Linked DNA regions of Stegostoma tigrinum. The protein of the gene in region 2 purifies or fractionates together with the protein of the main gene of each other region. This does not show direct contact. Links are inferred from orthologs where the notes say so. Each region holds a gene or a part of one and is shown on either strand. Other genes may lie near its edges.

Evidence for each region.
Region 1: the proteins of dbnlb (region 2) and neurl4 purify together in Homo sapiens (co-immunoprecipitation; 4 studies listed by BioGRID and IntAct, counting the BioPlex papers as one, with this or other methods). This does not show direct contact. The link is inferred for Stegostoma tigrinum from reciprocal best matches to the Homo sapiens genes DBNL and NEURL4.

What each region holds. Positions count from the first base shown.
Region 1 is NC_081398.1:13,790,469-13,806,133, reverse strand, and holds the start of neurl4 (neuralized-like protein 4), read right to left. Parts: upstream 6,388-15,665; 5' UTR 6,246-6,387; coding exon 6,081-6,245; intron 1-6,080. Other genes in the region: gps2 (G protein pathway suppressor 2), read left to right, coding at 7,408-7,501, 12,341-12,450. UniProt on the Homo sapiens protein: Promotes CCP110 ubiquitination and proteasome-dependent degradation. By counteracting accumulation of CP110, maintains normal centriolar homeostasis and preventing formation of ectopic microtubular organizing centers.
Region 2 is NC_081393.1:1,034,464-1,050,370, forward strand, and holds the start of dbnlb (drebrin-like b), read left to right. Parts: upstream 1-8,124; 5' UTR 8,125-8,185; coding exon 8,186-8,268; intron 8,269-15,062; coding exon 15,063-15,118; intron 15,119-15,907. UniProt on the Homo sapiens protein: Adapter protein that binds F-actin and DNM1, and thereby plays a role in receptor-mediated endocytosis.

The DNA.
Region 1 (15,665 bases), on a different chromosome or scaffold from region 2:
GAGAGGATCAATGCCCCTCTGAGGATGTCCTTGGGGACGACTACATCTGGGTCATCAAGGAATATATCATGACTGATGAAATGCCCCCTTGTTGGCAGAGAGCTGTCATAACTCTATTGTCTAAAAAAGGGGCATCTCCATTTATTGAAGAGCTGGTGTCTGGTCTCCCTACATAGCTTGGACTACAAAATCTTGGCCATGGCACTTTTGTCTCACTTCAGTACCATGCTGGATCACGTAATCCACCCATATCATACTTACCAGTCCCAGGCTGGAGCATTCACAAGAGCATCAACCCAACCGGGATGTGACCCTTCATTCCCAGAGGACTGGTCTTGAGTGCCCTTTCTCTCCCTTGATCAGGGATAGGCATTTGACAGAGTGGATCACAAGTGTCTACTTGGGCCTCTTTGAGCTTTTGGGTTTGGGACACACTTTGTCGCCCAGATTCAACTTCTGTACACTGCTCTGGAGTACCTAGGGAAGGTAACCAGGTCCCTCATGGGACCCGTGTACTTCCGGAGGGGAGCGCACCAGGGTCACCCTCCCTGTCTGGACAATTGCATTCTCCTTGTGTGGAGTCATTCGAGTGCCTCTTGCAGAGGTGGCTGTCGTCTCAGGTTCTGTGAAGGAGCTGGGGTGGTCCTTTCAGTTTAAGCCAACGACATGCTCCTCACGTTTGTGGAAGCGGCTGACTTACGGAAGAGGCACAAGTGCCAGATGGTCTACTCTGTGGCGTCCTCCATGAGGATCAAGTGGAGTAAGTGTTCAGGACTTCTGGTGAATCTGTGGCAGTTGGACTTCCTGCCGGAGCAGCTTCAGCGGTTCTTGTGGAGTATCACTCACCTCCTCTACCCGGAATGCCACGTTTGCCCTGCCGAGGAATCCTGGCCAGTGAGTTAGCACAAATAGCCAAGGTGATTACTCACCAAAGACACGAGACAGGGCTACTTGAAGAGTCATTTTACAGGGCACGAGGTCTGGTCATAAACCAGATGGGAGCTGCCACATTATGGTACTGGCTGCTCACTTTGGTCCCAACCCCTGGCTTTGTCAAACCATTCACAAAAGGGTCATAGCATTTTTCTGGGACAAAAAGCAACACTAGGTCCCTGCTGCAGTTCAGATGGGGGTCTGGCACTGGTGTGCCTCCACACCTGGGTAATGACTTTTTGCCTTCAGACTCTGCAGTGACACCTTTACATTGGCCCTCCAAGTTGTTGCGCCCTGATGATGTCATTTTTCTGTCAGGTGCACAGCCTCTATACTGACATGCAGTTCCTGTTCACAGAATAGTCTCGCTCTTGAATCTACTCCCAAGAATTGCCTGTCTTTTACTTGGACTTGTATCTGGAACATGGTCAGCTCATGTTGGATTGCCACTCCTATAAGAGTGGCAGCTATTGTGAGGGAGCCACTGCTCAGGAATGAGTTCCTCCATCAGCGTGAACTCTGCTGGCTGAAGTAGGGGAGGGCTTGGGATGCTGGGCTGACCAGGGTCAAGGCTGTGTTAGATGGAGGAGGAGTGGGCTGAGTGACACTGCTGCAGCTGGCCGAGAGGGTTCACAGCCTGACCCATACGTAGCCTGAGGCACAACGTGCTCAGCCCCGATGCCCTATGCAAGACCCAGACAGCTCAGGCGTGTGCGCAGCGGGCTCCCGGCTGAATTGACTCCTGTACGTTCGGAACCCGACATCAGTCCTGCACAAGCCACCCTTCCCCATGACGTGGTGCCTCACAATCTGAGCTGTCTTTCAGAAATCACTGCACAGAGGTATTTCCTGTACTGGCTGCTGTTGCACTCTCCACTTCTGCACCTTCATCTGTTGCTTCGAGACTATTTTGCCCTCCAGCTGCAGAGATCCCCAGCGGAGGGCCATTTACAAAGAGGTCCTTCCCCTTTCCTCTGGGGATCCGGGGTGGAGAGTGCTGCATGTGGCAGGCCGGTACACCATAGGATGTGAGTCCACTGGATGCCAGGTGACGCGTAATTTTTGTGCTTGACATCGGTGTAGAATGTTTCCGTTTGCAACTCCTTTTTGGTTTTTGAAGGGGTTGCTTCTTCAATTTTGCTTGCACTTCAGTCCCATGGTCCTGATCTACGGACACCTAGTGCAGGCTGACAAGTTGGTGGGCCTTCTGCTGGGTCTGGCCAAGATTTCCCCCATTCCTGATGGGGTGCCACGCTTTCACAATTATGTTTGAGCTGGGGAGTTGCTGAAGACAGAGCAGTGCTCACAGATACAGCAAAGTTCTTTGGAGACCATTGGGCACCACAAAGCCTGGGCAGCATTGAATCACAGGCTGACAGGGTGGTGAAGGCAGCATTTAGCATGCTTGCCTTCATTGGTCAGTGCATTGACTATAGGGGTTCGGATGTCATGTTGTGGCTGTACCAGACATTGGTAAGGCCACTTCTAGAATTTTGCACACAATTCTAGATGCACTTCTACTGGAAGGATGTTGTTAGACTTGAAAAGGTTCAGAAAAGATTTACAAGGACATTGCTGGGACTGGGAGGCTTGAGTCATAGGGACAGGTTGAGGGAGCTGGGGCATTTTTCACTGGAGTGAGGGCAGCTGAGGTGCAATCTTACAGGGGTTTATCAAATCATGAGGGGCATGAATTCGGTGAATAGTCAAACTTTTTCGAACGGGAGGGGAGTTCAAAATTAGAGGGGATAGGGTTTAAGGCAAGACAGGAAAGATTTACAAGGTACCCAAGGGGCAACTTTTTCACACAGAGTGTACTGTGTGTATGGAATGTGCGGCCAGAGGAAGTGGAGGAGACTGGAACAATTACAACATTTAAAAGGCATCTGATGGGTATATGAATGGGAAGAGCTGAGAGGGAGGTGGGCCAAATGCTGGCAAATGAGTAAGCCCTCCAGATTGGGGTCCCATAAGTCGAACGAAAGGATCTGTTTCCATGCTTTATGGCTCTATGGGTCTACAACATTATTTTGACATGGGTAATTTCTGTTTGGTTCTGTAAGTTTCCATTTGACTGTTAGTTTATGTTCAATTGCAATACGATGCACAGCAGTAAGCGTTTCATTATTATTATTTTGGACTTCCAGTTTTCATAAAAGAAATAGAACATAGAACAGTACAGCATTGTACAGGCCCTTCTGCTCCCCATGCTGTGCTGAACTTTTACCCTAAACCTAAGGTCTATCTAACTCCCACTGCTACCTTATACTATCATCCATGTGTCTATCTAATTGCCGCTTAAATGCTCCTAATGAGGCTGAGGCTGACTCCACTACCCTCTCCGGCAATGCATTCTATGGCCCAACCACTGTCTGAGTAAAGAACCTACCTCGGATGTCTCCCCTATATCTACCGCCATTCACTTTATAACTATGCTCCCCTCATAATAGCTACCTCCACCCGAGGAAAATGTTTCAGGCTGTCCACACTATCTATACCTCTCATCATTTTGTACACCTCTATCAAGTCACCTCTCATCCTTCGTTGTTCTAAAAACAGAAAGGCCCTAGCTCTCTCAACCTTTCCTCATAAGACCTTCCCTCCATTCCAGGCAACATCCTGGCAAATCTCCTCTGCACCTTTTCCAACGCTTCCACATCTTTCCTGTAATGAGGTGACCAGAAATGGACACAATATTCTAGACGTGGCCAAACCAGGTTTTTGTATAACTGGAGCATAACTTCACTGCTCTTGAACTCAATCCCTATTAATGAAAGCTAACACACCATATGCCTTCTTAACAACTCTATCCACTTGGGTGGCAGCTTTCATGGAACCGTGGACATGAACCCCACGATCCCTCTGCTCCTCCACGCTGCCAAGAATCTTTCCGTTAACCCTGTGTTCCATTTTCAAGTTTGTCCTTCCAAAATAAACCATTTCACACTTTTCAGGGCTAAACTCCATCTGCCACTTCTCAGCTCAGCTCTGCATCCTATCAATGTGCCTTTGTAACATAGTGCGGAGGGCTGTTCTATCTACAATTTGACCCACCTTCATGTCGTCTGCAAACTTACTAATTCACTCTTCCACTCCTACACCCAGTTCATTTACAAAAGTCAAAAACAGAAGGGGACCCAGAACAGATCCTTGTGGTACACCACTCATAACTGAAAATGAAGGAGTTTATTCTGCATTTAACCCTGTGCTGCCACAGTTCCAGAGTGTTTGATGGGGATGGCATCAGTGGACCATTACTTAAAGTTTACTTTTAGTTCAAAGAGTGGAGATGGCTTTACTCTGTACTTAACCCTCTGTTGTTCCTGCCCCGGGAGCGTTTGACACAGATGGAGGTGCCTTTCAGTTTTAAGTGTAGAGGAAGTGTTAGTTTCAGTTTTAAAACCGTAGAGGATGCTCTGATTTCAGTTTACCATAGAATCCCTACAGCATGGAAGCAGGCCATTTGGCCTGTCACACCAACAGCGGCCCTCTGAAGACCATCCCATCTAGACCCACCCTCCTGCCTTAACCCTGCATTTCCCATGTCTAATCCACCTAGCCTGCACGTCTCTGGACATTATGTCCAATTTAGCATGGCCAATCCACGTAATCTGCTCATTTTTGTGGGAGGAAACTCAAGCAGACATGGGGAGAATGTGCAAATTCTATACACAAGGTTGCCTGAAGGTGAAAGTGAACCCAGGTCCCTGGCACTGTGAAGACAGCAGTGCTAACCACTGAACCACTGTGATCTTTACTCTGCACCAAAACGCCTGCTTTATCTCTTCTTGTGGTGTTTTAAGCAGACGTTGTTGAGGGGGCTTTACTTTCAGTTTAAAAGTGTAGAAGTATATTCTGTATCTAGCCCTGTGCTGGGAATGTTTGATGTGGACAGTGTACAGACAGCCTCACTCATTATGTAACCCTGTGATGCCCCCATCCTAGACATGTTTGTTAGGGTCAATGTTGAGCAAGCTTTACTTTCTATTTATTTTCAGTCTGAAAGACTAGAGAAATCATGTGCTGTTCCTCCCCTGGGAGTGTTGGATTGGAAGAACATAGAGGCAACACTTTGTATCTAATCATACGTCACCCTTGTCTTGGGAGGGCTTAGTGGAGACACAGTCAAGTACCCTGTAACTAACCCTGTGCTGTACCTGTTCTGAGAGTATTTGATGGCTGACATCTGGTGCAAACCATCACATGGAGCACACAAGGGCCCTCGAAACCAGATGGTGCAGTCCCACTGACAAAGCTGTGGCACCAGGCCAGTGAACCAAAGCATCACCTTGGTTTCCTTCTCTACACTAGCACTGCCCAGTCTTTTGCGCCCTTCCGGGACCTTCTACCAATGTTCCATTCCCTGGCGCCTCTGCACCTGGCCCTTGCCAGGAGTTGGCACTGTCCATCACATTGGGCTGCCTTCACTTGGGGGCTGGGGGGGAACCCTCGAGATGGTGTCCAAGGGCATGCTGGGGAGGAACCTTTACAAAATGACCAGAGAGGGATTTTGAATTTTTAAAACTGGGGACGGCAGGGGGCTACTTGACAAGCCACGTCGAGCCGACAGACAAATACCAGCCCGGGGGGGGGGGGGGGAAGAGGGGGTGCTTAGGGTCCTCTCTGCTGCAAATTGGGACAAGCTCCAGCTTTTTTCTGCTGGACCAAGTTCCACTCATTACATTTAATCCTCTAGCGATATCCACGATGTTTTTTTTTGGGGGGGGTGTCGCAATTATGATTAAATATGATTTAAGAAAATAAAATCACAAAACCTGCTATAGCGATGTTAAAGCTGGGGGGGGGGGTGTGTTCCCCCTTTTTACCTGCTGAGATTCCCCTTCCCGTGCACCTTCTGGTGTAGGCCTCAATCACCGGTGTTTCTTACTGAGCTTACCCCTGGGTATGAGGGTGGGGGTGAGGGTGAGGGTGGGGGTGAGGGTGAGGGTGAGGGTGGGGGTGGGGGTGGGGGTGGGGGTGGGGGTGAGGGTGGGGGTGGGGGTGAGGGTGGGGGTGGGGGTGAGGGTGAGGGTGGGGGTGGGGGTGGGGGTGGGGGTGGGGGTGAGGGTGGGGGTGAGGGTGAGGGTGGGGGTGGGGGTGAGGGTGGGGGTGGAGTTACAAACATCTACATCTCCCCCTGGACTCACCTTCCTGTCGATCCGGACCTGGAAGAGCTGCCCGTCCCCCAGCGGCTCTCGGCTCATCGCCAGCCCGTGGTTGAACTCCTCGGTCGGCTTGTTACGCTTGGCCGTGCGGTTGCCGTTCAGCAACGCCACCAACTTGCCGGTCCTCAGGTGGAACTCGGCCGCCATTCCGAGAGCGGAGAGAGGGGCTTACCGCCCCCTCCTCAGCCCGCTCCTGCTCCACGACAGCCTTCTCAACCGGGTCCTAAAGGAGTAACAGGGCCGGGGAGACTAACCCGCTTGACGGCTGCGGGGCAGCTGTATCGAAATCCGCTTTACGACGGCAGCGCCGTTTGATTTGACCGCCCCTCCGCGCTGGAAACCGGCGGCTCCGCTTTACGATCCCGTCGCGCGCCAAGGCCGTCGCCCGCTTCTCAGCGTCCGTCTCGCTTTACGGCTGCGGGGCGGATCTGACGGTGGGCGGGCGGAGTGTGATGGCGTTGGTGGAGTGAAAAGAGAGAGAAGAGAGAGAGAAAAGGAGGAAAGCGGCCCGGGGCCTGGAAACAGGGAATGGTGAGGGGAAGAACAGGGTGAGGGTGATGGGGACCTGGAGCTGCGGGATGTGGGGGAGATCAAGGAAAAGACCCGTGGAGAGAGGAGAAGGGTAGGTGGGAGGGGTGTTTGTGGAAGTGGTTGGGTAGAACAGTGAGAGGGAAATGGAGAAGGGAGGACATACCGATGAGAGTGGAGGGAATGGGGCACAGTTCTTGAGAATCCGGGAAGAACAGGGAGATTTGGGGAGAGCACAGCACCCTATGTGTAGCCAGCGTGTTTTGAAAGAGAATGCAATCTGTGGGAAGCCTGGCCTCTTGTCCTCCTGGGGTCTAATCCAGTATGGCTCTGGCTGTGGCTCATTCTGGGTTTCAAGCGAAACAGAATGGTATTGACTGGTTGATCCGGAGTTATTTGTTTGTGGTACGTTCTGTGTAAAGTGTGGGCTTCACTAGCCGAGCCAGCATTTACTGGTCATCCCTATTTGCCGTGGTGGTGAGACGCCACCTTAAACTGCTGCAGTCCCTGAAGTATAGGGACAGTGCTGTTAAGGGAAAGTGGGAAGTGTGACCCAGTTGCTGTGAGGAAACAGCACTGTAGGTCCAAGTCAAGTGTTTCAGAGGGGAACTTTTAGGAGTTCTAGTTAGCTGTGCTACACCGGGTGGTCTTGGGAAACAGTGTGGTGACTGTAGGTTTTCCAGATTTACTCTTGCGATTCTGTACCTCACACAAAGCTGATTTATGGCTTTTTCTCACCTGTTTTAGGTTCTAGTGTCTGGATCCTTCTGAAACAGAGACGATGCCCGCCCTACTGGAACGACCCAAGATGTCGAGCGCGATGGCGCGAGCTCTTCACCAGCACATCATGAAGGAGAGAGCACGGAAACGACAAGGTAGAAGTGCTGGGAAGGAAGTGTGAGTGTGCTCACACAATGTCTGGCAGGTAGATCAGGGCGGGACAATCTGGCAAAATGCTCAACAGAAAAATCTGCATGTGTCATGCTGTCACTGGCTCCCTGGGATATGTGCTGTTGTTATATCAGAATGCTGTGTTGTTATTGTTATGATCTGGTAGATGCCTGAAAGGGCAGCTTAAGCAGATCCAACTGGGCTTTCCAGAAGGGGAGTGCACAAGAATTTTGCAGGCCTCTGGGACAAAAGTGCTCGAGACCGTTGGACAAAGGAACACAGGGGAAGCCATTTGGCTCATATCGACCTTTATGCCAATCTGGGAGATGACGACTAATTATTCAAAGACTCTTTCTCCATGTTTTTGTGTTTCTCCCCTGGCTGGGGAGCATTCTTCCTTCTCGAAGAATTTTATCCATTTTAATTAGATCTCTGCTCATTCTTCTAAACTCAAATATATTGGATCTGTCTGTTCAAATTATACACGTAGAATAATTTCAGTATCCAAGGGATCAGGTTGAGATCATCTGCAAAGAATGTGGGTGCAACTCACTCAATCATTCCTCGCAGGACCTTGCCCACAGCCTATTAATCAATCCAGGGAATCTTCAATCCTATGCTACCCATAAGTCAGTTAAGGCATAAACTGGATAACTCTCACTCTTTTCTGGTGCCCTCCCCCTCTGCCTTGCCGGTGCCCTCCCTCTGCCTGTTGACCTTGCCATTGTTCTGTCTGTTCCTCCTATCCACTCCCATTCTGCGTGTTGCTCCACCTGCTTTGCCAAGCTTCATAACTCTCTAGCTCCACCTATGTCCCCCACTAGTTGGTCTATCCATCCCTGAGAGATCTACCCAGCTAGTTTCATTCTCCAGAGCTCTCCATCTCCACCTCCACCACTCTTCCAGGCAGCTCATTCTAAATCCTAACAACACTGAATAAAGATTTTCTCCTCATCTCACTCCAAGCCACCTTGCTGACAATTTTGAAATTGTTGTTACTGACATACCAACCAGTGGAAACAGAATATGCTTCTTTATTCTGTCAAAATTATTCATAAATTTTAACACTTCAATAAGGTCATATCTTAATCTTCTCTGCTCCATGTAGCATAAGCCAGATTTCTCTAATCTTATCTTGTATCTAAAATTCCTAATTCCTGGTATCATTCTAGCAAATCTCCTTTGCACTCTTTCCAGACCTTTAATGTCCTTCCTTAAATAAAGTGCCAGGACTAAGCACAGTCCTCTTAATTTGGTCTGATCAATGATTTGTAGAGGTGTAGCATCAGTTCCTTCCTTTTCTATGCTATACTTCTTTTTATAAAGTCAAGACTCCTATAAGCCTTAGTAACAACTGCTCCAACTTGTCTGGCCATCTTCAGAGAATTATACATGTGAACCCCGAGGTCCCGCTGCTCCTGTATTCCCTTCAAAGTTGTACCTTTGAGCCCATACTGTCTCACCCTGTCTCCTCTGTCAAAGTGCACTATCTTGCATTACTCTGCATTGAAATTCAGGTATTGCATATTTGGAAAACTTGCCAATATCTCTGCGAAGCCGCTCAATGTCATCCTCTAATTCACTATTCTACCTCAGTTAGTATCATGTGCAAATTTAGAGATTTTTCCCTCAACACCTATCTCCAAATTGTTCTTTTAAATCAGAAAAGGCAAGGGTCCCAACACTGATGCCTGAGATACATCACTTTCAACTTGTCTCCAATCTGCAATATGCCCACTTTACCCTCTTGCTCCTACCTTTTAGCTAAATTCTAATCCATGCTGCAAGATTCCATCAATACCAAACATTTCTAATTTGCTAACCATCCTGGCATGTGGCACCATATCGAATACTTTCTAATGTCCAAATATACAACATCCACAGCACTGCCTTCATCTGCTGCCTGGATCACCTTGTTAAGGAACTCAATTAAATTTGTCAGACATGACCTGCTATTGGCAAAGTCATGTTGACTGTCAAATATGAACTTACTTTTCTTTAAGTGTAAAACAGTCCTAAAACAGTGGCCCCTAATCACAAGAGGAGACATCTTTTCCATGTTCTCTTTGTCAAAACCATTTAGTATCTTATATCTTTCAATCAAGTCACTCCTCACTCTGCTAAACTCCAGTGGAAGCAAGACTGGCCCATCTAACCAATCCTCGTAAAACAACTTGGTCCAGCTCTCAAGAGTAAATCTCCACTGAACAGTCTCCAATGCATTTAATCCTTCCTTAAATAAGGAGACCAAAACTGAATGTAGTATTTGAGATGTGGTCTCACCTATGCCCTGTTTAACAGAAGCATAACATTCAAACTTTTATATTGAATTTCCCTGGTAATAAAGCATAGCATTCCATTAGCTTTATCGGTTACATGTTGTACCTAGATACTAAAGTCTTGTGACTTCTGGACTAAAATACCAAGATATAGCTACCTATCCAGAGTTCTAAAGTTATTTTCTGTTGAGCAGCACGGCATGGTGGCTCGTTGACTAGTACTGCTGTCTTCACAGCAGCAGGGACCTGGGTTTGCTTCCACCCTTGGGTGACTGTCTGTACTGAGTTTGTGCATTCTACCCTTTTCAGTACGCGTTTCCTCTGGGTGTTCCGGTTTCCTCCCACAGTCCAAAGATGTGCAGGTTTAGTGTATTGACAATGCTAAATTTCCCACAGTGTCCACGGATGTGCTGAGTGGATTAGCCATGGGAAATGCAGGTCTGTAGGGATAGGAACGAGGGTCTGGGTGCTCTTGGAGGGTTGGTGTGGACCCGATGGGCTGAATGGTCTACTTCCACACTGTAGGGATTCTATGAATACTCTGCCTTTTGATTCTTTCAGTGTGTCAACCTTGATGGAAAGAGATCACTGGAAATTAAGTGCCTGTATTCCACAAGTTTTAGGATTACCAATTTAATCTCTAGGATGGTTAATATCTGATTGTGATCACTGTCTAAGAGAAAAGTAGCTCACACCAGGTTTTAGCAATGAATGAGAAACCAAAAACGTATTTATTATACTAAGCTTATTCTCTCATGTGTGACAAAAACAGATTATTAATTACTAATGTGCAAATTTAAGCTGAAGCCCTTGAAATCCAAACACACACATTGATAAACGGCAAGGACAATGCAAACAGTTTTTCGGGAATATTGTTGGGGGATAATAGGCAAAATCAAACAATGTCTGTGGATCAAGAGTCCAAATGCTGAAATAAGTGTCGTGACTTTTTCATTATTCTTTGATTTTTGGTGCTGTATTGTTGTTGACTTTGGCAAACCTCATGTCAGTAACTAGTCATTTGGGCTTTGGCCTTGCTTAAGCTCTCTCTTGACAAAGCCTCTTCAGTGTTAGTTTGTTTCTATTCAGAGCGAGGGTGGGCGAGCACAGTCTGGTTTGCTGAGGGTTTTTGGAGTCATGGCAGCCCAACTGCGCTCTCTCCTCTCAGTTCTGTGATGAACTTCTGCTTACAACCAGTCCAAAAGCTGTTGCTTGCCAGTTTATGTTTTTCCTAACTAAGGATCTTGGTGCCAGCATGTGTCTCAGAAGTATCAAATCCAATTTGTCTCAAATGTCATAAATGCTTGTGTGGCCCAGGAGTGAACAGCGCACAGTCCAACTTTTGTTTCCAGTTATAAAGATAAAATTTGGTTTGCTGGTTTATATTTCCAATAAAATACGTAGTCCCTACGCCTGCCAAAGTAAACGACTCACGTTTGACCACATTGCACTGAATGTACAAGACCTCTGCCAATTGGCTCAATCTTTGTCTGTCTGCAAACTCCTCCTCCATAGCATACTTTCCTACCTATCATAGTGTCATTTCTGAATTTAGCAACTCTGCCTTCACTTCTCTCATTGATATATAACTATAAATGTTAAGGCCCCAGCAAGTGTGGGACCCCATTCATCACATCCTGCCAATGGATCCGTTTATACACACTCTCTGTTTTCTGCTAGCCAACCAATCTTCTATCCATGTGAATACATTACCCCCAAAACCATGACTTTTTCTTTTCCACAGTTGCCCTAGTATCCCAGAGACTGAATGGGACCTGGCAGGATAGAGCTAAGGGCCTGAGACCCAGTTAGCTGTCTTTGATCCACCAAAACAAGATGGTGGGGAGTGGGTGTGGGTGGCAGGAATATGGATGGATATGGTGCCTGAGGCTTTGTGCACTAAAAGATTTGAAACCCTCTGAGTGTCATGGAGCTAGCCCCAAGTGTTATCTTTTCTGCAACCTCTTATTCAGTGCAGCAGGAGGCTATTCAGTCCCTTTTGAGCCTGTTCCATTATACAGGAAAGTGGTGGCTGATCTATGACCTAATTCCATGTAACTGGCTTTACTGTGTAAGAAAACTGCAAACCTCAGACAGGAGTCGGAAGAGGCCATTTGGCCCTTCAATTCTGCTCCACCTTTCAACAAGATTGTGGCTAACCTGTTTGTGGGTTTCAGTCCACTTGCCTGATTTCCTCCTCTAATTTTCCAGTAACTCCCTTATTGATCAAAAATCTACCTATCTCAGCCTTTAATAAGTTTAAAATCCCAACCTCCACTGATTTCTAGGGACGAGAATTCCACACACTGTAATGACCCTCTGAGAGAAAACTGTTCTCCTCATCTCTATTTTGTTTGAAACAATGTCCTGCAGTGCCAGTCTTCCTCATAAGAGGAAACAGCCTCCTGGTATCTTTCCACTCCCTACAGGACCACGCATGTTTCAATATGATTACCGCTCATTCTTCTAAACCCCAATGGATACAGGCATCTAATTTAAATTGAGAAATGAAATCTGTAACTGCTGCCCTTGTGGCCATTGCAGAGGAAGAGGAGGTGGACAAAATGATGGAGCAGAAGATGAAAGAGGAGCAGGAACGGAAGAGGAAGAAAGAGATGGAGGAGCGCATGTCACTGGAAGAGACGAAGGAACAGGTAAAGTTTGTGCCTGGTGGGGGTGGAAAAGTTTGTCTGGCTACTGAATCTAGACGCAGATTGAGGTGGCGATTGGTGATTGAGGCATCGCCTCAACTCAGTGGGAATAAGTGCCCTCAACTGGCATGAATCCATTGCCTTCGTTTCAAGAGGGCACACATGCCTGTTGTGGGAAATCAATGGGATATGGTTGTGACACGGAAGGATTTTTAGATGCCGGAAACAGGGCATTGCCTGTGCAACAGTTTTCTAGAGGTTTACAGCACAGAAAAACACTCTTTGAGCCATTCAGTGATAATTGGAAGTGCAGATGCTGGAGAATCTAAGATAACAAAGTGTGAAGCTGGATGAACACAGCAGGCCCAGCAGCATCTCGGGAGCATAAAAGCTGACGTTTCGGGCCAGGACCCTTCATCAGAGAGGGGGATGGGGAGAGGGTTCTGGAATAAACAGGGAGAGGGGGGGGAGGCGGACCGAAGATGGAGAGAAAAGAAGATAGGTGGGGAGGGGATAGGTCAGTCCAGGGAAGATGGACAGGTCAAGGAGGGGGTGATGAGGTGGTAGGTAGGAAATGGAGGTGCGGCATGAGGTGGAAGGAAGGGATGGGTGAGAGGAAGAACAGGTTAGGGAAGCAGAGACAAGCTGGGCTGGTTTTGGGATGCAGTGGGGGGAGGGGAGATTTTGAAGCTTGTGAAGTCCACATTGATACCATTGGGCTGCAGGGTTCCCATGCGGAATATGAGTTGCAGTCCTTGCAACCTTCGGGTGTCATCATTGTGGCACTGCAGGAGACCCATGATGGACATGTCGTCTGAGGAATGCGAGGGGGTGTTAAAATGGTTTGTGACTGGGCGGTGCCGTTGTTTATTGCGAACTGAGCGGAGGTGTTCTGCAAAGTGGTCCCTGAGCCTCCGCTTGGTTTCCCCAATGTAGAGGAAGCCACACCAGGTACAATGGATACAGGATACCACATTGGCAGATGTGCAGGTGAACATCTGCTTAATACGGAAAGTCATCTTGGGGCCTGGGATGGGGGTGAGGGAGGAGGTGTGGGGGCAAGTGTAGCACTTCCTGCAGTTGCAGGGGAAGGTGCTGGGTGTGGTGGGGTTGGAGGGTAGTGTGGAGCGGACAAGGGAGTCACGGAGAGAGTGGTCTCTCCGGAAGGCAAACAAGGGTGGGATGGAAAAATGGCTTGGGTGGTGGGGTCAGATTGTAGATGGCGGAAGTGTCAGAAGATGATGCGTTGTATCCGGAGGTTGGTGGGGTGGTATGTGAGAACGAGGGGAATCTACTTGGGGCAGTTGTGGCGGGGGTAGGGTGTGAGGGATGTGTTGCGGGAAATGCGGGAGAGGGCATTCATGACCACTGTGGGGGAGGATGTTGCGGTCCTTGATGAACGTGGACATCTGGGATGTGTGGGAGTGGAATGCCTAATCCTGGGGGCGGAGGCGGAGGAACTGGGAATAGGGGATGGAATTTTTGCAGGAGGATGGGTGGGAGGAGGTGTATTCTAGGTAGCTGTGGGAGTCGGTGGGCTTGAAATGGACATCAGTTACAAGCTGGTTGCCTGAGATGGAGACTGAGAGGTCCAGGAAGGTGAGGGATGTACTGGAGATGGCCCAGGTGAACTGAAGGTTGGGGTGGAAGGTGTTGGTGAAGTAGATGAAATGTTCGAGCTCCTCTGGGGAGCAAGAGGCTGCGCCGATACAGTCATCAATGTAACAGTGGAAGAGGTGGGGTTTGGGGCCTGTGTAGGTGCGGAAGAGGGACTGTTCCACATAACCTACAAAGAGGCAGGCAGAACTTGGGCCCATGCGGGTACCCATTGCCACCCCCTTTGTCTGGAGGAAGTGGGAGGAATCGAAAGAGAAGTTGTTGAGGGTGAGGACGAGTTCGGCTAGGCAGATGAGGGTGTCGGTGGAGGGGGACTGGTCAGGCCTGCGGGACAGGAAGAAGCGGAGTGCCTTGAGGCCACCTGCATGAGGAATACAGGTGTATGGGGACTGGACGTCCATGGTGAAAATGAGGTGTTGGGGGCCAGGGAATTGGAAGTTCTGGAAGACGTGGAGGGTGTGGGTGGTGACACGGACGTAGGTAGGGAGTTCCTGGACCAAAGGGGAGAAAATGGAGTCCACATAGGTGGAGATGAGTTTGGTGGGGCAGGAACAGGCTGAGACAATAGGTGCCATGGCAGGTGGATTTGTGGATTTTTTGGGAAGGAGATAGAAACAGGCTGTGTGGGGTTGGGGAACAATGAGGTTGGAGGCAGTGGGTGGGAGGTCCCGTGAGGTGATGAGGTGATGGATGGTGTTGGAGATGATGGCTTGGTGCTCGGGTGTGGGGTCATGATCAAGCAGGCGGTAGGAGGTGGTGTCGGAGAGTTGGTGTTTGGCCTCGGCGATGTAGAGGTCAGTGCGCTATACTACCACTGCGCCTCCCTTGTCTGCGGATTTGATGGTGAGGTTGAGGTTGGGGTTGGAGCGGAGGGCTGCCCATTCTGCGGGGGAGAGGTTGGAGTGGGTGAGAGAGGAGGAGAGGTTGAGGCGGTTGATGTCTCAACAGGAGTTGGAGATGAAGAGGTCGAGGGAGGGTAGGAGGCCTGGGGGTGGTGTCCAGGAAGAGGACTTGTGTTGGAAGCGGGTGAAGGGGTCAGTGGAGGGAGGGTTAGGCTCCGGTTAAAGAAGTAAGCGTGGAGGCGAAGGCGGCGGAAAAACTGTTTGATATCCAAGCGTGACTGGTATTCGTTGATGTGTGGGTGGAGGGGGACAAATGTGAGCCCCTTGCTTAGGACTGACTGTTCGTTTTCAGTCAGTGGGAGGTCTGGGGGGATGGTGAAGATTCGGCAGGGCTCAATGTGGCTGTCTTCTCTGGGGTGCTGGCTGTGGAGCCCACTGACTCCCACAGCTACCTAGAATACACCTCCTCCCACCCACCCTCCTGCAAAAATTCCATCCCCTATTCCCAATTTCTCTGCCTCTGCCACATCTGCTCCCAGGATTAGGCATTCCACTCCCGCACATCCCAGATGTCCACGTTCTTCAAGGAGCGCAACTTTCCCACCGCAGTGGTTGAGAATGCCCTTGACCGCGTCTCCTGCATTTCCCACAACCCACCCCTCCCACCCCGCCCCCGCCACAACCGCCCCAAGAGGATCCCCCTCATCCTCACATACCACCCCACCAACCTCCAGATACAACGCATCATCTTCTGACACT
Region 2 (15,907 bases):
TTTGAGAGTCCCTTCAGAAATCTAATAACAGCAGGGAAGAAGCTGTTCTTGAATCTGTTGGTACATTTGCTTAAGCTTTTGTATCTTCTGCGTGATGGAAAATATTATGACCAGGGTGGAGGAGTCTTTGATTATGTTGGCTGCCTTTCTAAGGTAGTGAGAAGTATAAAAGGAGTCAATGGATGGGAGGTTGCCTTGTGTGACAGGCTGGGCTGTATTAACAACTTTCTGTAGTTTAAGGATCTGGATAAAGCAGTTGCCATACCTAGCCAGGATGCATTCAGATGGAATGCTTTCTACAGTGCGTTTACAAAAATTGATAAGAGTCTTCATGGACATGCCTAATTTGCTTATCTCCATAACCCTTGATATCTGATTAAAAAATCTAGCTTTCTCAGCCTTGAATATACTTACTGACTCAGCCTCTACAGTCCTTTGATGCAGAATTTAACAGGTGCACACCAAAAAAGAAACTCATCGGTTTAAACGTGTGACCTCCTACTCGGAGATGAAGCTGTTTGGTCCTAGACTTTTGCACAAGGATAGATTAGTTTCCGTATCTACTCCGTCAAGTCCCCCAACAATCTTGTATAATAAGGTTGTGCACCATTCTTCTAAATTCCAGTAAATGCCCACCCAATTTACTCAATCTTTCAGAAAAACAGTCACTCCACATCTAGGACCAGCCAAGTGAACCTTTTCTGGACTGTTTCCAGTGCCAATTTCCCTTTCTTAGACAATGGGCCCAAAACTGTTCTTGGAATTCTCACCATGGTCTGATGAGGGCCTTTACAATTTTTAGCAAAGCTTTCCTACTGTTATATTCAATTGCCTTTGAAATAATTCCCAACATTACATGTGCTTTCCCCAAATCCATGCCTGAAGTAGTAAATCAACATGTGCACCCTTGGTTTATCCTTTTGCGCTTGAAATCAATCTAACAGTGAGTGTGATTGACCTGTTGTATTGTCTACCATAGCTGAGAAAAAGTCTCAAGCGACAGCAATCAGCATCTACTGAAGTCATCAGATTAGAGTTGGTCTGCTCTCAGCTGGAAAAAAAATGCAGAGAAATGAAATCCCACTTGACAACTTGCTGTGTTGTGGGCAATACCTACAAAAAGGAAGGCAAACAAGTGGCAAGTTTTTGTCTACTCCTGGATACGAAGAGTATTGAGACTGGCAACGTGCCTCTCAATCAGATGATAGCCTGGAGATTTTATCACTGGGCTATTCGGACCCAGATTATGATCTGGAAATCCGGATTCAAATCCTGCCATTACAGATGGTGGAATTTGAATTCAATTTTTAAAAAAAGTCTGGGATTAAGAGTCTAAAGATGACTGCAAAACCATTATCAATTGTTGGAAAAGCACATCTAATTCACTACTGCCCTTTAGGGAATGAGACTGCATCCTTACCTGGCCAGGCCGAAATATGACTCCAGACCCACAACAACGTGGCTGACTCTTAACTGCCTTCTGGGCAACGAATCCTCACAGAGCCAGCAATGCCCTCATTCTGCAAATGAATAAAAAACAGCTGAAGAAATGACATATGGTGCGGGCTACGTTGTACCCTTCTCTCTGAATGTTCTCAAATGCGCTGAATCCAATTATTTTCGAGAGACCCATCTATCAGCATAACCAAGTTTAGTTTCAAACAAGTCAAACTTTCTCTACCACCTTAAGTTGCAGCCTGTGTCATCCAGCAAGACCTACTGAAGTGGAAGATGGAAGGAGGGAAATAAAGGCAGACATTCAGAGACTTCTGTATGGTCAGCCTGTCTCCTCAGTCTCCACATTGAACAGCAATAAACATAGGAATAAAGGGTCACAGAAAACAAATCTTCAGGTCCAACTCATCTCTGCCAACTTGATATCCTAAATTAATCTAGTTGCATTTGGCCCATAGCCCTCTAAACCCTTCCTATTTGTGTACCCATCCACATGCCTTTTAAATGTTCTAATTGTACCAGGCTGTACCAACTTTTCTGGCAGCTCATTCCCTAAATGCACCACCCTCTGCGTGAAGAGGTTGCCCTTTAAATCTTTCCGCTCTCACCTTTAAACCTCTGCCCTCTAGTTTGGACTCCCTCCACTGCAGGGAAAAGACTTTGTCTATTTACCCCATCCGTTCCCCTGATGATTTTACAAACCCCTATCAGGTCACCCTGAGCCTCTGACACTCCAGAGAAAACAGCTCCAGTCTATTCAGCCTCTCCCTACAGCTCAAACCCTCCAACGCTGGCGACATTCTTGTACATCTTTTCTGAAACCTTTCAAGTTTCACAACAGGGAGGCCAGAATTGCACACACTATTCCAATAGTTCCGAACCAATGTCCCATACAGCTGGCTCCATGTCCACCCAACTCCTGTGCTCAATGCACTAATCAATAAAGGCAAGCATAGCAAATGCCGTAACTATCCTGTTTCCCTGCAACTCCACTTTCAAGGAACTATGAACATGGATTCCAAGGTGTCTTTGTTCAGCAACACTCCCCAGAACTTTATCATTAAGTCCTGCCCTGAGTAGTCTTTCCAAAACGCAGCAGCTCACATTCAACTCCATCTGCCACTTCGCGGCCTAGTGGCCCATCTGATAAAGATCTCATTGTACTGAGGTAACCTTCTTCGCTGTCCTCCACATCTCCGACAAGGCTGAGGAGCAGGTGGTAGACATTCGAATCCTCTACACGATCATGGCTGATCTCAAATAAACTTTACTGACTACACACTAGAACCGCTGATCCCTTCTTTATCAGAACCACCCTAACTTAACCTTGTCAAGATACTGAATGATGCAGCCTCTGCTGCTTTCTGGGACAGAAAAGTTCACTTCACATATGTATCTAAACCCAGGGACCTTTTACTCTTAGATAACAAAGTGTGGGGCTGGATGAACACAGCAGGCCAAGCAACATCTTAGGAGCACAAAAGCTGACGTTTCAGGGCTAGGCCCTTCATCAGATTTTAGTCTGCCCCACATGAGGGAACATTCTCGCGTTATCCACCCTACCAAGTTCCCTCAGGATCAGATCTCCACAAGGTAACCTCTTGTTCTTTTAAACTTCAATGCTAACACAGCAACCTGTTCAACCTCTCATAAGCCCTTCGTTCTGGGAATGAGCTAAGTTAACTTTCTCTGAACTGTGTGGAAGAAAACTATATCCTATACAGCTGCAGTTAAACTTTGACTTGGATATCATATTCCCCTTGCAATGAACAATATTTCATCCTGCTTCCTAATCATTTGCTGTGTCTACATACTTAATTTTAAAAGCCTTGTACCACAACACTCAGATGTATTCTGCATTACCATCAGTTAAATAGCATACTGCTATTCTATTCTTCCTGCCAAAATAAAAACGTTGCTAACTTTCTACATTATATCCCTTCTGAAAACTTGTACCCATTCACTTCACCTTGCTATAATACTTTGCAGATCTACCTCATCTTGGCAACTTTACTTTTCTACCTCCCTTGGTATTATCAACTTTTGATCGCATATGTTCGGTACAGTTATTGAAAAAATGAATATGTATTATAAACAATTGAGAAACCAGTGGAGACCCATGACTGTCAACCCAAAAAGAATCTTGTCTTATTCTCTGCTTCCTGTAAGCCAATCAAATCTTCAGACATGTTTATTTGATACCATCTACACCACAAGCTGTTTGATTTGGCTGCTTATAAAATTACAATTGGACATCTAAAGACACCATAACTACTTGTTTCCATCTATCCATTATGAGAGTCACTTTAAAACTAAAAGAACTGCAAATGCTGTAAAATCAGGACCAAAAACAAAGTTGCTGGAAAGGTTCAGCAGGTCTGGCACCATCTGTGACGGAGAAATCAGAGTTAATGTTTTGGGTCCGGAGACCCTTCCTCAGAACTTGATTAAACAGGCTTTCCTATTCATATAGTGTCAGGTCTGCTGGATAACACCATTTTCCAAGTAACTTTATATAACCTCCTTAATAATGGGATCTACAATATTTCTGACAACTGATTTTTAAGGTAACTGATTTTTAAGATTTGAACATATCCTTGTTTCCAAATCCAGTCTTCTGGTACCTTCCCAAAATGGAAGAAATTGTTGGAGATTACAAAGAAAAGATCCTCTATCTGTGCAAGATAATAAAATGTGAGGCTGGATGAACACAGCAGGCAAAGCAGCATCTCAGGAGCACAAAAGCTGACATTTCGGGCCTAGACCCTTCATCAGAGAGGGGGATGGGGTGAGGGTTCTGGAATAAATAGGGAGCGAGGGGGAGGCGGACCGAAGATGGAGAGAAAAGAAGATAGGTGGAGAGAGTATAGGTGGGGAGGTAGGGAGGGGATAGGTCAGTCCAGGGAAGACAGACAGGTCAAGGAGGTGGGATGAGGTTAGTAGGTAGATGGGGGTGTGGCTTGGGGTGGGAGGAAGGGATGGGTGAGAGGAAGAACAAGTTAGGGAGACAGAGACAGGTTGGACTGGTTTTGGGATGCACTGGGTGGAGGGGAAGAGCTGGGCTGGTTTAGGGATGCGGTGGGGGAAGGGGAGATTTTGAAACTGGTGAAGTCCACATTGATACCATTAAGCTGCAGGGTTCCCAGGCGGAATATGAGTTGCTGTTCCTGCAACCTACGGGTGGCATCATTGTGGCACTGCAGGAGGCCCATGATGGACATGTCATCTAAAGAATGGGAGGGGGAGTGGAAATGGTTTGCGACAGGGAGGTGCAGTTGTTTGTTGCGAACTGAGCGGAGGTGTTCTGCAAAGCGGTCCCCAAGCCTCCGCTTGGTTTCCCCAATGTAGAGGAAGCCACACCGGGTACAGTGGATGCAGTATACCACATTGGCAGATGTGCAGGTGAACCTCTGCTTAATGTGGAATGTCATCTTGGGGCCTGGGATAGGGGTGAGGGAGGAGGTGTGGGGGCAAGTGTAGCATTTCCTGCGGTTGCAGGGGAAGGTGCTGGGTGTGGTGGGGTTGGAGGGCAGTGTGGAGCGAACAAGGGAGTCACGGAGAGAGTGGTCTCTCCGGAAAGCAGACAGGGGTGGGGATGGAAAAATGTCTTGGGTGGTGGGGGTCGGATTGTAGTTGGCGGAAGTGTCGGATGATGTGTTGTATCTGGAGGTTGGTGGGGTGGTGTGTGAGAACGAGGGGGATCCTCTTAGGGCGGTTGTGGCGGGGGCGGGGTGTGAGGGATGTGTTGCGGGAAATGCGGGAGACGCGGTCAAGGGCGTTCTCGATCACTGTGGGGAGAAAGTTGCGGTCCTTGAAGAACTTGGACATCTGGGATGTGCGGGAGTGGAATGTCTTATCGTGGGAGCAGATGTGGCGGAGGCGGAGGAATTGGGAATAGGGGATGGAATTTTTGCAGGAGGGTGGGCGAGAGGAGGTGTATTCTAGGTAGCTGTGGGAGTCGGTGGGCTTGAAATGGACATCAGTTACAAGCTGGTTGCCTGAGATGGAGACAGAGAGGTCCAGGAAGGTGAGGGATGTGCTGGAGATGGCCCAGGTGAACTGAAGGTTGGGGTGGAAGGTGTTGGTGAAGTGGATGAACTGTTCGAGCTCCTCTGGGGAGCAAGAGGCGGCGCCGATACAGTCATCACTGTACCGGAGGAAGAGGTGGGGTTTGGGGCCTGTGTAGGTGCGGAAGAGGGACTGTTCCACGTAACCTACAAAGAGGCAGGCATAGCTGGGGCCCATGCGGGTGCCCATGGCCACCCCCTTAGTCTGTAGGAAGTGGGAGGAGTCAAAAGAGAAGTTGTTGAGGGTGACCGCCCAGTTCGTCCCCTCCCCCCACTGCACCACACAACCAGCCCAGCTCTTCCCCTCCACCCAGTGCATCCCAAAACCAGTCCAACCTGTCTCTGCCTCCCTAACAGGTTCTTCCTCTCACCCATCCCTTCCTACCACCCCGAGCTGCACCCCCATCTACCTACTAACGTCATCCCACCTCCTTGACCTGTCCGTCTTCCCTGGACTGACCTATCCCCTCCCTACCCTACCTCCCCACCTATACTCTCTCCACCTATCTTCTTTTCTCTCCATCTTCGGTCCGCCTCCCCCTCTCTCCCTATTTATTCCAGAACCCTCACCCCATCCCCCTCTCTGAAGAAGGGTCTAGGCCCGAAACTTCAGCTTTTGTGCTCCTGAGATGCTGCTTTGCCTGCTGTGTTCATCCAGCCTCACATTTTATTATCTTGGATTCTCCAGCATCTGCAGTTCCCATTATCTCTATCTGTGCAGCCAGTTCTCTTTAAGATCTTTGGATATAGGCCATTGGATCCTGGCACTTTTGCTTTGGTGATAGTGATTACATTTTTTCGAAATGCATTCCTCCCTATCACCTCGTGACTGTTTGCTTATCTTTGGGAAGACTTTCCCCAGTCTCCTGACAAGTAGACAGCTACAAACCATGCGTTCAAAGTCTCAGACGTCCCCGGAAGACTAACACTAGCTTTCGTTACTTTTTTTACCAGTTGTTGAAGTATTTGCCAAAGTTCTTCCAATCTGTTTTTATGCTGCTGGCAACCTTTCCCTGACACCATCCACCTTTCCTTTAACGTAAAAGCCAGACCAAAGACTAATCTTGGGAGGGGCAGGAAAGTCTAACGTTTCAGGTTGGGGCCCTTTCCTACTCCTCAGAAACTGTCTGACCTGGTACGAGCCTCCAACTCCATACTTTATCAACTCATACTTCCAGCATCTGCAGTCCTTGCCATCTCCTAGCCTTTGGGGTTTGTAAAAGGAAAATTAAAAGCAGTTTTTCATTTCAACTGAACACTGATCTTCACCCAGCTAACAATCCTTTTGTAAGAGTTTTCCCTTGCTCACTGGGCCAAAACCAGAATGTAGACCCTCACAGAACTGGTACCTCCCGGCACCACGAGCAACGCTCTGACCTATTAATTCCGAATCGGTTAGGGAAGGATACCCAGACTGAGGATACACGCCCCTGGGCCCGTCCCACCCTGGGGACAGTAGTTGCGGTGGTAACTCTCCCCTCACCAACAAACCCACGGCCACTCGCCACAAGCACCGCGCCAAAGCCCGCGACAGGAGGACACACCCGGCATCGCCTTGCCGCCCCTCATTGGCCGAGGGGTACACACTAGCTCTCCACTCATTGGAGGAAAAAAAACTCCGTCATCCAAACGACCGTTGCCCGCGTGCTCCCACCCCCAACCACCGCGACCCCTTAAGGCCTCGGCCGAGATGTTCTTCCCATTCGCTGAGGCGTACACACCGTCTCCCGGCTCATTGGCGGAAAAGGGAGTAGGCCCGAAACATCAGCCTCGCGACTCCTCTGCTGATGCTGCTTGGCCTGCTGTGTTCATCCAGCTCCACACCTTGTTATCTCATTAGAGGAAACAGTCCGTCATCCAATCCGCACTATGTTCGTCCCCACCCCGCTTCCCGATTGGCTCTCTGGTGGGGGCGGGAACTGCGCTCCTACGGCTCTGCCCATATGTCACTCAGACTGAGGCACGTGCTGTCTTTCTCGCGCGACGCCCGACGCCGGCGCTAGACTTTCTGCAAAGGTCTTTGCCTCTCACCCTCGCTGCCTACCATGAGCGGCTGGATAGGATTGACGTCCACCGGTATAAGACTGGGTTCAGAGATAATGGGAACTGCAGATGCTGGAGAATTCCAAGATAATAAAATGTGAGGCTGGATGAACACAGCAGGCCAAGCAGCATCTCAGGAGCACAAAAGCTGACGCTTCGGGCCTAGACCCTTCATCAGAGAGCCCCTCTGATGAAGGGTCTAGGCCCGAAACGTCAGCTTTTGTGCTCCTGAGATGCTGCTTGGCCTGCTGTGTTCGTCCAGCCTCACATTTTATTATCTAAGACTGGGTTCAGTTGACCGAACGCATTTACCCCTTTATTATGGAGCCGAGGAGGTGTCGTTGGTTAGTTGACAAAAATACTTTAGAGGTTGGCTTTCAGTTAACAGATACTGTGTTGCCTTTGGAAAGGGGGTGGACGGAGAAGTTCTGATTAATTGCTGGGTTGTCGCTGTCTGAAACAGAGCGTTGGGAAAATGCGGACCCCGAGCCGGCGCGCATGCGCGTTTGGAGTCGCGCCGGCGGCTGTGGGGCGGGCATGTGGCTGCAGTACTCAGAGCATGCGCGGAGGTCCTGGAGAAAGGGTGTGTTGTGCGCCTGCGTGGTTGCCGCTCAGGAAAAATGGCGCTGAACCTCAGTCGCAATGGGCCCGTTCTGCAGGCTGCCTATCAGGATGTGGTAAACGACAAGGCCGCTACTGACTGGTGAGTTGTGGTCAGGGCGAAAGAAGATTCAGTAGGTTCCAGATTGAACCTGGATTTTGAGGAGGGGAAGGGAAAGCGGAAGGTTGCAGGTGGTCGGGAGTAGAGGCTCCTTTTCGAGTTTGTTGAAGGTGTAACATTGACTGATGAAGTTTGGTTGCTGGGTGTGGTGTTCGTTTGTGTGGAGAAGGACTCGAGCCTTTCGACGCCGGGGGTTGTTCGGCCCGTTGTGTCTATGGTGCCTCTCCCGATCAGACTTTGACTCTGTACTGTTGCCATGCCTCCCTGTGCACACATTCTGAGAATCCCTACAGTGTGGAAACAGCCCTTTAGCCCAACAAGTTCCACACTAACCCTCTCGGCATCCCACCTAGATCCATCCCCCTATAAACCCACCTAATCTACACATCCCTGAACATTATGGGCAATTTAGTATGGCCAGTCCACCTAACCTGCTCATCTTTGGACTGTGGGAGGAAACCAGAGCACCTGGAAGAAACCCACACAGACATAAGGAGAATATGCAAACTTCACACTGACAGTTGCCTGGGGGGTAAAATTGAACCCAGGTCCCTCATGAGGCAGCAGTGCTAACCACTGAGCCACCGTGCTGCCAGACAACAGTCAAAAATCTTATCTGAATGTCTCCAGTCACCTTAACTCCACTGCCCACTCGGGTTCTAGCTGCCAGCCACTTGCTGCATGAAAGGAAGTTCTCCTCTTGATGTTTTTTTTGTCAATGAGTTTAATCTGTGACCTCTGGCTTCCATTAGTTGCATTGTTTTTTTTGTTTTTATCCAGACTTGGGATTGGATTTTGAATATGATTTTGAATACCTTTGTCAAATCATCTTCCAGTCTTCTCTGAAAATTACGTCTGCAGTCACTCACTTGCAATCACAATCTTATTTCACTGAAATTCTTATCCCCAGAATCATTTATGGAGTATACACTTGTATTTCCAGAAGAGCTGTGCCAAAGCTACATGGTAGATGGATGATAATTTAATGGGATCCAATAATAAATTCTGTTGGGCTTTAGCTTATGAGAATGACCAGGAGGTGTATATTTGTATTTACATTTGAGTATAAATTAAGTGGTTATAATTGCTGATAATAGCCTAAATTGGCCATGTAGTTGATGCAGCGTAAGTTGTAAATGATAGCAAGATGCTGTGCATTGACTTGGTGAGTGAAACTAAATGTTAAAGAATAAATGAGATATGTGAATGGGTAAAGCAAACAAATTTAAGGGGTGGAGTAGAATTGTTTGAATTAAGTTTGGCTTGTTCACATGAATGTTAATAGATTACAACTTGCCACTTGCGGTGCTATTGTAGGTGCAAAGGTAGTGAGGTATAGAATCTTAGCACAAAGCAGAAAAATAAAGAAAACAAAGTTTTATAAAAAGTGAAACATTACTGTCCTCCTTTGTAAGAAGTAGAAAAGCAAAGGAACACAGTTAATAGTTAAACACAATAGTCCATAAGGACCTGGCCACTTCGAGTTTGCACTCAATGACTTGACCTCTCCCCTGTCACTACTCTGGGCTGGCTGCTGTTCCTGCTCCCACTTCCGCCTTGGAGTGCCAGCTACCCTGGGCTGCCAGTACTTGCTGCCTAACAGCCTGCGGCTGCTCTTGCTGCCAAATACCTTGCAGGAGCAGCAGCCCACGTGCATGCTATTCAGCCACCATCTTGAAAGGGATTGGATATAGATCTTGAGGAAGAAAGGGACTTTAGAACCAATGCAATTAGATCCCTGTAAGTGACAGAACAAGTAAGGTACTATAAGAAGGCATATACAATTCTTTCCGTTTTTAACTGTGGAACAGGAAGTCAGTGTAAAGAGTTATGCCAGGACACTGATAAAGAATTGGATGTTTATCAGAAAACCATGAGTATTGATTAATGCACATATTTGGGATGGAAGACAGTGTCATAAAGCATGCCTTAGGGATTTATGTTGGGACATTCCCTGAGATATGTTACAAGTGTAGGCCGTCTTGTGCAAGGGCATAATTACCAAGGTTGCAGAGGATGCAAAACTATGAAACATATTTAACCAAGGAGAATGGTGTAGAATTTCAAAATGACGGAAGAATTCATGGAATGTGCTGATAGGCAGTTGATGAAACTTGGTGTAGAGATGTGTAAAGTTTGGTAGGAAGAACATGGAAAAATAATGAAAAAAAACTTGAAAAGGGGTGCAGGAACAGCAGAAACTGGATGAATAGGTGGAAAAATCATTACAGATGACAGGACAGTTTGAGGAAAAAAATACTCAAGCAGTCAGTATCCAAGGCTTTATTCACAGGACATAGAGTACAACAGCAAGTAGGTTGTGTTGAACTTGGATAAGTTGCTAGTTTGGCCTCAGCTTGCAGTACTGCATCTAGTTCAGTGTGCTGCATTTAAGAATGGATGTAAAGACGGAGATAGTGCAGAAGATGTTTTTGGAAATGTTTCGAGGATTGAGAAATCTCAGATATGAGGATAGATTAAAGAAATCAGATCTGTTTTATTAGAAGCAAAGAAAGCTGAAAGATGTTTGACTTTGGTCAAGGACTGTGAAAGAAGAACTTGAGCTGTTAAACAAACAGGAAGAACAGGAAATCAGGAACTAGTGATTGCACAACACCAGCCACATGGCAAAATTTGCATGCTTTATGCTGATTTGTTCATGTCGCCACTTGGATTTTAGTTTAACTGCCAAAATGCAATCATGAGCACGCTCCATCTGTGATAACAAAGTGTGGAGCTGGATGAACACAGCAGGCCAAGCAGCATCCTAGGAGCACAAAAGCTGACGTTTCGGGCCTAGACCCTTCATCAGAAAAGGGGGATAGGGAGAGGGGGAGGCGGACTGAAGATGGATAGAGGAGAAGATAAGTGGAGAGGAGAGTATGGGTGGGGAGGTAGGGAGGGGATAGGTCAGTCCGGACAGGTCAAGGAGGCAGTATGAGGTTAGTAGGTAGGAAAGGGAGGTGGGAGGAGGGATAGGTGAGAAGAACAACATGTTAGGGAGGCAGGGATGAGCTAGGGTGGCCTTGGGATGCAGTGGGGGGGAGGGGAGATTTTTGAAGCTGGTGAAATCCGCATTGATACCATCAGGCTGCAGGGTTCCCAAGCGGAATATGAGTTGCTGTTCCTGCAACTTGGGGTGGCATCATTATGGTACTGCAGGAGGCCCAGGATGGACATGTCATCTGAGGAATGGGAGGGGGAGTTAAAATGGTTCGCGACTGGGAGGTGGAGATGTTTATTGCGAACTGAGCGGAGGTGTTCTGCAAAGCGGTCCCCAAGCCTCCGCTTGGTTTCCCCAATGTAGGGGAAGCCACACCGGGTACAGTGGATGCAGTGTATCACATTGGCGGATGTGCAGGTGAACATCTGCTTGATGTAGAAAGTCATCTTGGGGCCTGGGATGGTGGTGAGGGAGGAGGTGTGAGGGCAAGTGTAGCACTTGCTGCGATTGCCGGGGCAAGTGCCGGGTGTGGTGGGGTTGGAGGGGAGTGTGGAGCGGACAAGAGAGTCACGGAGAGACTCCATCTGTGACTTTGGTTTGACTTTTCTTGGTGCCACCTCCTAACCTCGACTCCCATTGCTTGAGCAAAGCCTTGCTTTGTACATCTGCAATTTACTTTATGTTCAGATTGTTATTCGCTGATAAGCAATTTAGTATGTGGGCCTGTTCCTAATCACTGATTACCAACAGGTCTACATTGGTGCTTGTGGTACACGGACAACTTGTATTATTCGTTCTGGTTAAACTGAAAAAGCTTATCTAACCCTACAGTTCCTTTTCCACTCTGAGTACTTCCAGCTTCTTAAATGATTTACATCATTCATCTCAAACACTCCCTATGAGAGTGAATTTTGCATGCTCCCAAAGCTCTGTATAAGAGCTTTCTTCTGAATTCCTTGTGAGGATTTTTTAGTGGCCATTTTATAGCTCTTCCTCTCAAGAAGAAATAATTGTTCTGAATCCAGTCCATATGTATCACAGTCTCAATCTGGCTGCACCTCAGCCTTTTTAAAAGAACAAAATCCAAGGTATTAGTCAAGTATTTAAAGTCTGTTGCTTTTTGCGTTCGTTATATTAAATAAGACTTTCAAAAATAAAGCTGAGATGCAGTGTGAAATTATTTTGTCATGCTGAACAAAACTCGGTAAGTCAAAAGGACTGGTGTGAACCTATAAATATTCACAAACGTGAAGTGCTTATATGATGGTTAACCACAATTCACTGCCCCTCTCAGTTGCTTTGACCCCAGCAACATGTCTGTGCAAATGTTGAAATAGAGAATCAATTGTCGTCTGAATTTGACACAGCTGGAGGCACAAAATCTTTTCAGCTATGGTTTGCTGTCAGTGCTGTTTTCTGGTAATTTTATTAAGACAGTGAAGATTTTGTTATTGGACACATGACCATAGCCCAGGTTTTTGGAGTGAGCTTTCTGCCCTGTTGTTCAACTGACTAACTTTCTAAAGTACTGTACAGCAGATGCCACTTGCTTTAGAGAATTAAAACATTAATGGAGACAAACAGTGCAGTTCATCAAGCCTGTCTTCTCAACTTGGATAATCCTGTCAGTGGTTTCCTATCAGATTCCAGATTTCTCCATTTCATGTGAGTTGAAGTCATTGATGGCCTTCGAAAGACCTTCAGTTTTGTTTCTGGGCTCAAGTCATTACAAAATAATTTAGTTTCCGTCTTAAAAGTGGGTTTCATTTCATCATTCTTATCATAATGCAGAGCGCTCCTCACCAAAGATTCTTAATTCCAGACACTGAGTTCAGCTGTGATGGGAGTCAAACCCGGCTCAGAATATGAGCTGAGTTATGAATTAATAGCCAAGTTATTAAATCTTTATTAATAAGATTGCAATAACTATTATTATTAATGGCACCACGCCATCGTCAATCCCTCTTTTGTCAATGTCATTATGCCCCAAATGGTTCAGAGTGCACCAAGTAGTTGACTGCTGGCCATGATTGTAATGTAGGACTCAACAGCCTATTTGCGCTTAGTAAGATCCCACACACAGGCAGTGTTTTGATCACTAATCAATTCATTGAAGTTCTGATGTTTTAAAGTTGAATGATTGAAAACACTATGGGTAAACTATTCCTCTGGTTGGGCAAGCCCAGGACATGAGAATCGAGTTGAAGCTCGGACTGATGAGGCTTGATGTGACTACTCAGTTGGAGAAATGTGTGAAACACTTCAACAGGATTTGTAGTCTGCAATTGAAATCGCTGGTGCGAGGAATGATAGATTTCTGTTTGGGAGTGGTTTCATGACAGCATTGACATTGATCTAACTAAAAGACTATTGGGCTTATAGCACTGAATGGCCTCCTTGTTGCAGTTTAGGTGTGTAGAAGGGCTGAGCAGAACCTCTCCACTGTAACATTATCAACAAAACTTTGGGCAGCACAGATGTCATGCGCAAAATGGTCTCCATGGTTCTAAGAATCTACGATGAAGCATTCTCACTGTTGTTGAATCTGCACACATTAAGTTGTTCCTAATCAGGGTCTGTTGTCTTGCCTGGCGATTGCTCCACATGTTTCTTTTCCAGTGATGTACACTTTTTCAAACTTCTCTCTGCCAATGTAATAGCCCTTTATCATGCTTTGTATGCTCACATTCCTGACCAAGCTCCTAACACTACTTTGAGTGAAGAAGGGGATGACCAAGTATCAGAGCCTGTTTTTAAGGAGGAAGGCTTCGGTCCTTAAACAGGTTGGTTATAAAATAGCTCCTCTATTGGCCTGACTTGCTCAGTTAATTTAGTTAAAGTCTGGAAGTCTGCAAAATTCTGAGTGGTTTTGAGAAGGAAGTCAATAAGGACTTCCTTCTGGTAGGAGCGGATACAATGTTAAGATCACAGATAAAACCTGCTCTTTGAATGCAGAGCTGCTATGATCTGTGAAAAAGTGCTGGAAACAGACTGGAAAAGGGAATTGAGTAATGATTTGAGAATTAAAGTATTTGCAAAACTAGGGTAAAAGTAGTGTGAAAATTTAGTTTACACACAGTCAACAGGAAAATAGCAAGTTTGGGGAGATGGGAGGTCCTATGAAGCCCATGATTTCTCTTGGTGCCACAAGCATGAAGTCAACTGAATAAAAGCTGAGCAGTCTGCTACATGGAAAAATCTGATACTACTGGGCCTGGAATTGCAGTTTGTTTGAAGTCATGTAAGTTCTCCTCCTTCCAGTGCAAAGTAGTAGCAGAGCTGAGTAATGGTTTGTCACAAGCAGGTGGACACCCAGCACTCAGCTGCTGTGACAGATCTTTAAAATTTTGAGTCTCCGTTTGACAGACACTAGTCTGTACAATTTGGCTAGTTCATGCTAAGTCAGAGGAACACTCAGTCTGCCACGGTTCTGATTCGTTCCTGTATTTTCCTCTAATGTATCTAGCGTGGCAGTTAGAGGCTGTTGGCCCAGTATCAATTAAGGCCACTGTTGGAGACAAACAAAACCCCATAGTGCTAATCATCGAGTGGTTGCAACACTGTTTGCTGTCTTTTGAATGAGGTGAGAATTTCCTGGCTTACGGGGACTGAGATGGCAGGTTTGCATTTGAAGTGTGGCCTGTTTGAATTGGCCATCATTAACTGAGAATGTGGTGAACAACATTGCCTATGTATGTAAGTGTTATTGGAATAATGCCAAGTGATGGCTGCATATGGCAGCATTTGTCAATGCAGCTCATTTCCTTTCAAGAGCTGGGTGCTCTCTATAAGGATGAGAGGAAATCTGATTGTCTTGTTTTCTGTTTTTCAGGGCACTTTTTACATATGAAGGCAACAGCAATGACCTGCGGGTGGCAGGGACTGGAGGTGAGGTCACTTCATCTACTTGTCATCTGTGGCTGGTACTTATCAGGTTAACATAGTTAACATCACTGTGAAATGAATGGAGTTCTTGGTTCGACACTGGACTAGTTAGAGTTGATCTGCCCAGATGCAATAACAAGACCTTGCTGCCTGAGGCTAATTGTGTTTTGTCCCTTTGTGAAATACTTGTTTAATTGTACCCAGACCAGATGGACAACACCTCTGGGTTCAGAAGATGATAGCTGGACGCAATTGATGAGGCATTGGTGATGATCTTTCAGGAATCACTGGAGTCCGGGAGAATTGAAAAATGGCAAAGAGGCACCCCTGTTTAAGAAGAGAGGGAAACAAAAGATAGGAAACTATAGACCATTTACTCTGACCTCTATCACTGCTAAGATTACATTCAGTTTATTATTAAGGATGTGATTATGTAGTACTTGGAAGTGCACGGTAAAACAGGGAGAGAGTCAGCGTGATTTCATCAAAGGGAGGTCACATCTGACAAATCTTTTAGAATTCTTTGAGGTGGTAACGAGCAAATTTGACAAAGAAGAGCTAATGGATGTGATCTGTTTGGATTTCCAGAAAGCCTTTGACAAGGTGCTGCACAGGAGGCTCTTTGTGTGGAGCTGATGGCCTAGTGGTACTATCACTGAACTGTAAATCCAGGGACTCATAATGTTCTGGGGACACGGCTTCGAATCCTGCCATGGGCAATGGTGGAATGTGAATCGGATAAAATTTCTGGAATTAAAAATCTAATGATGACCATGAATCCATTGTTGATTG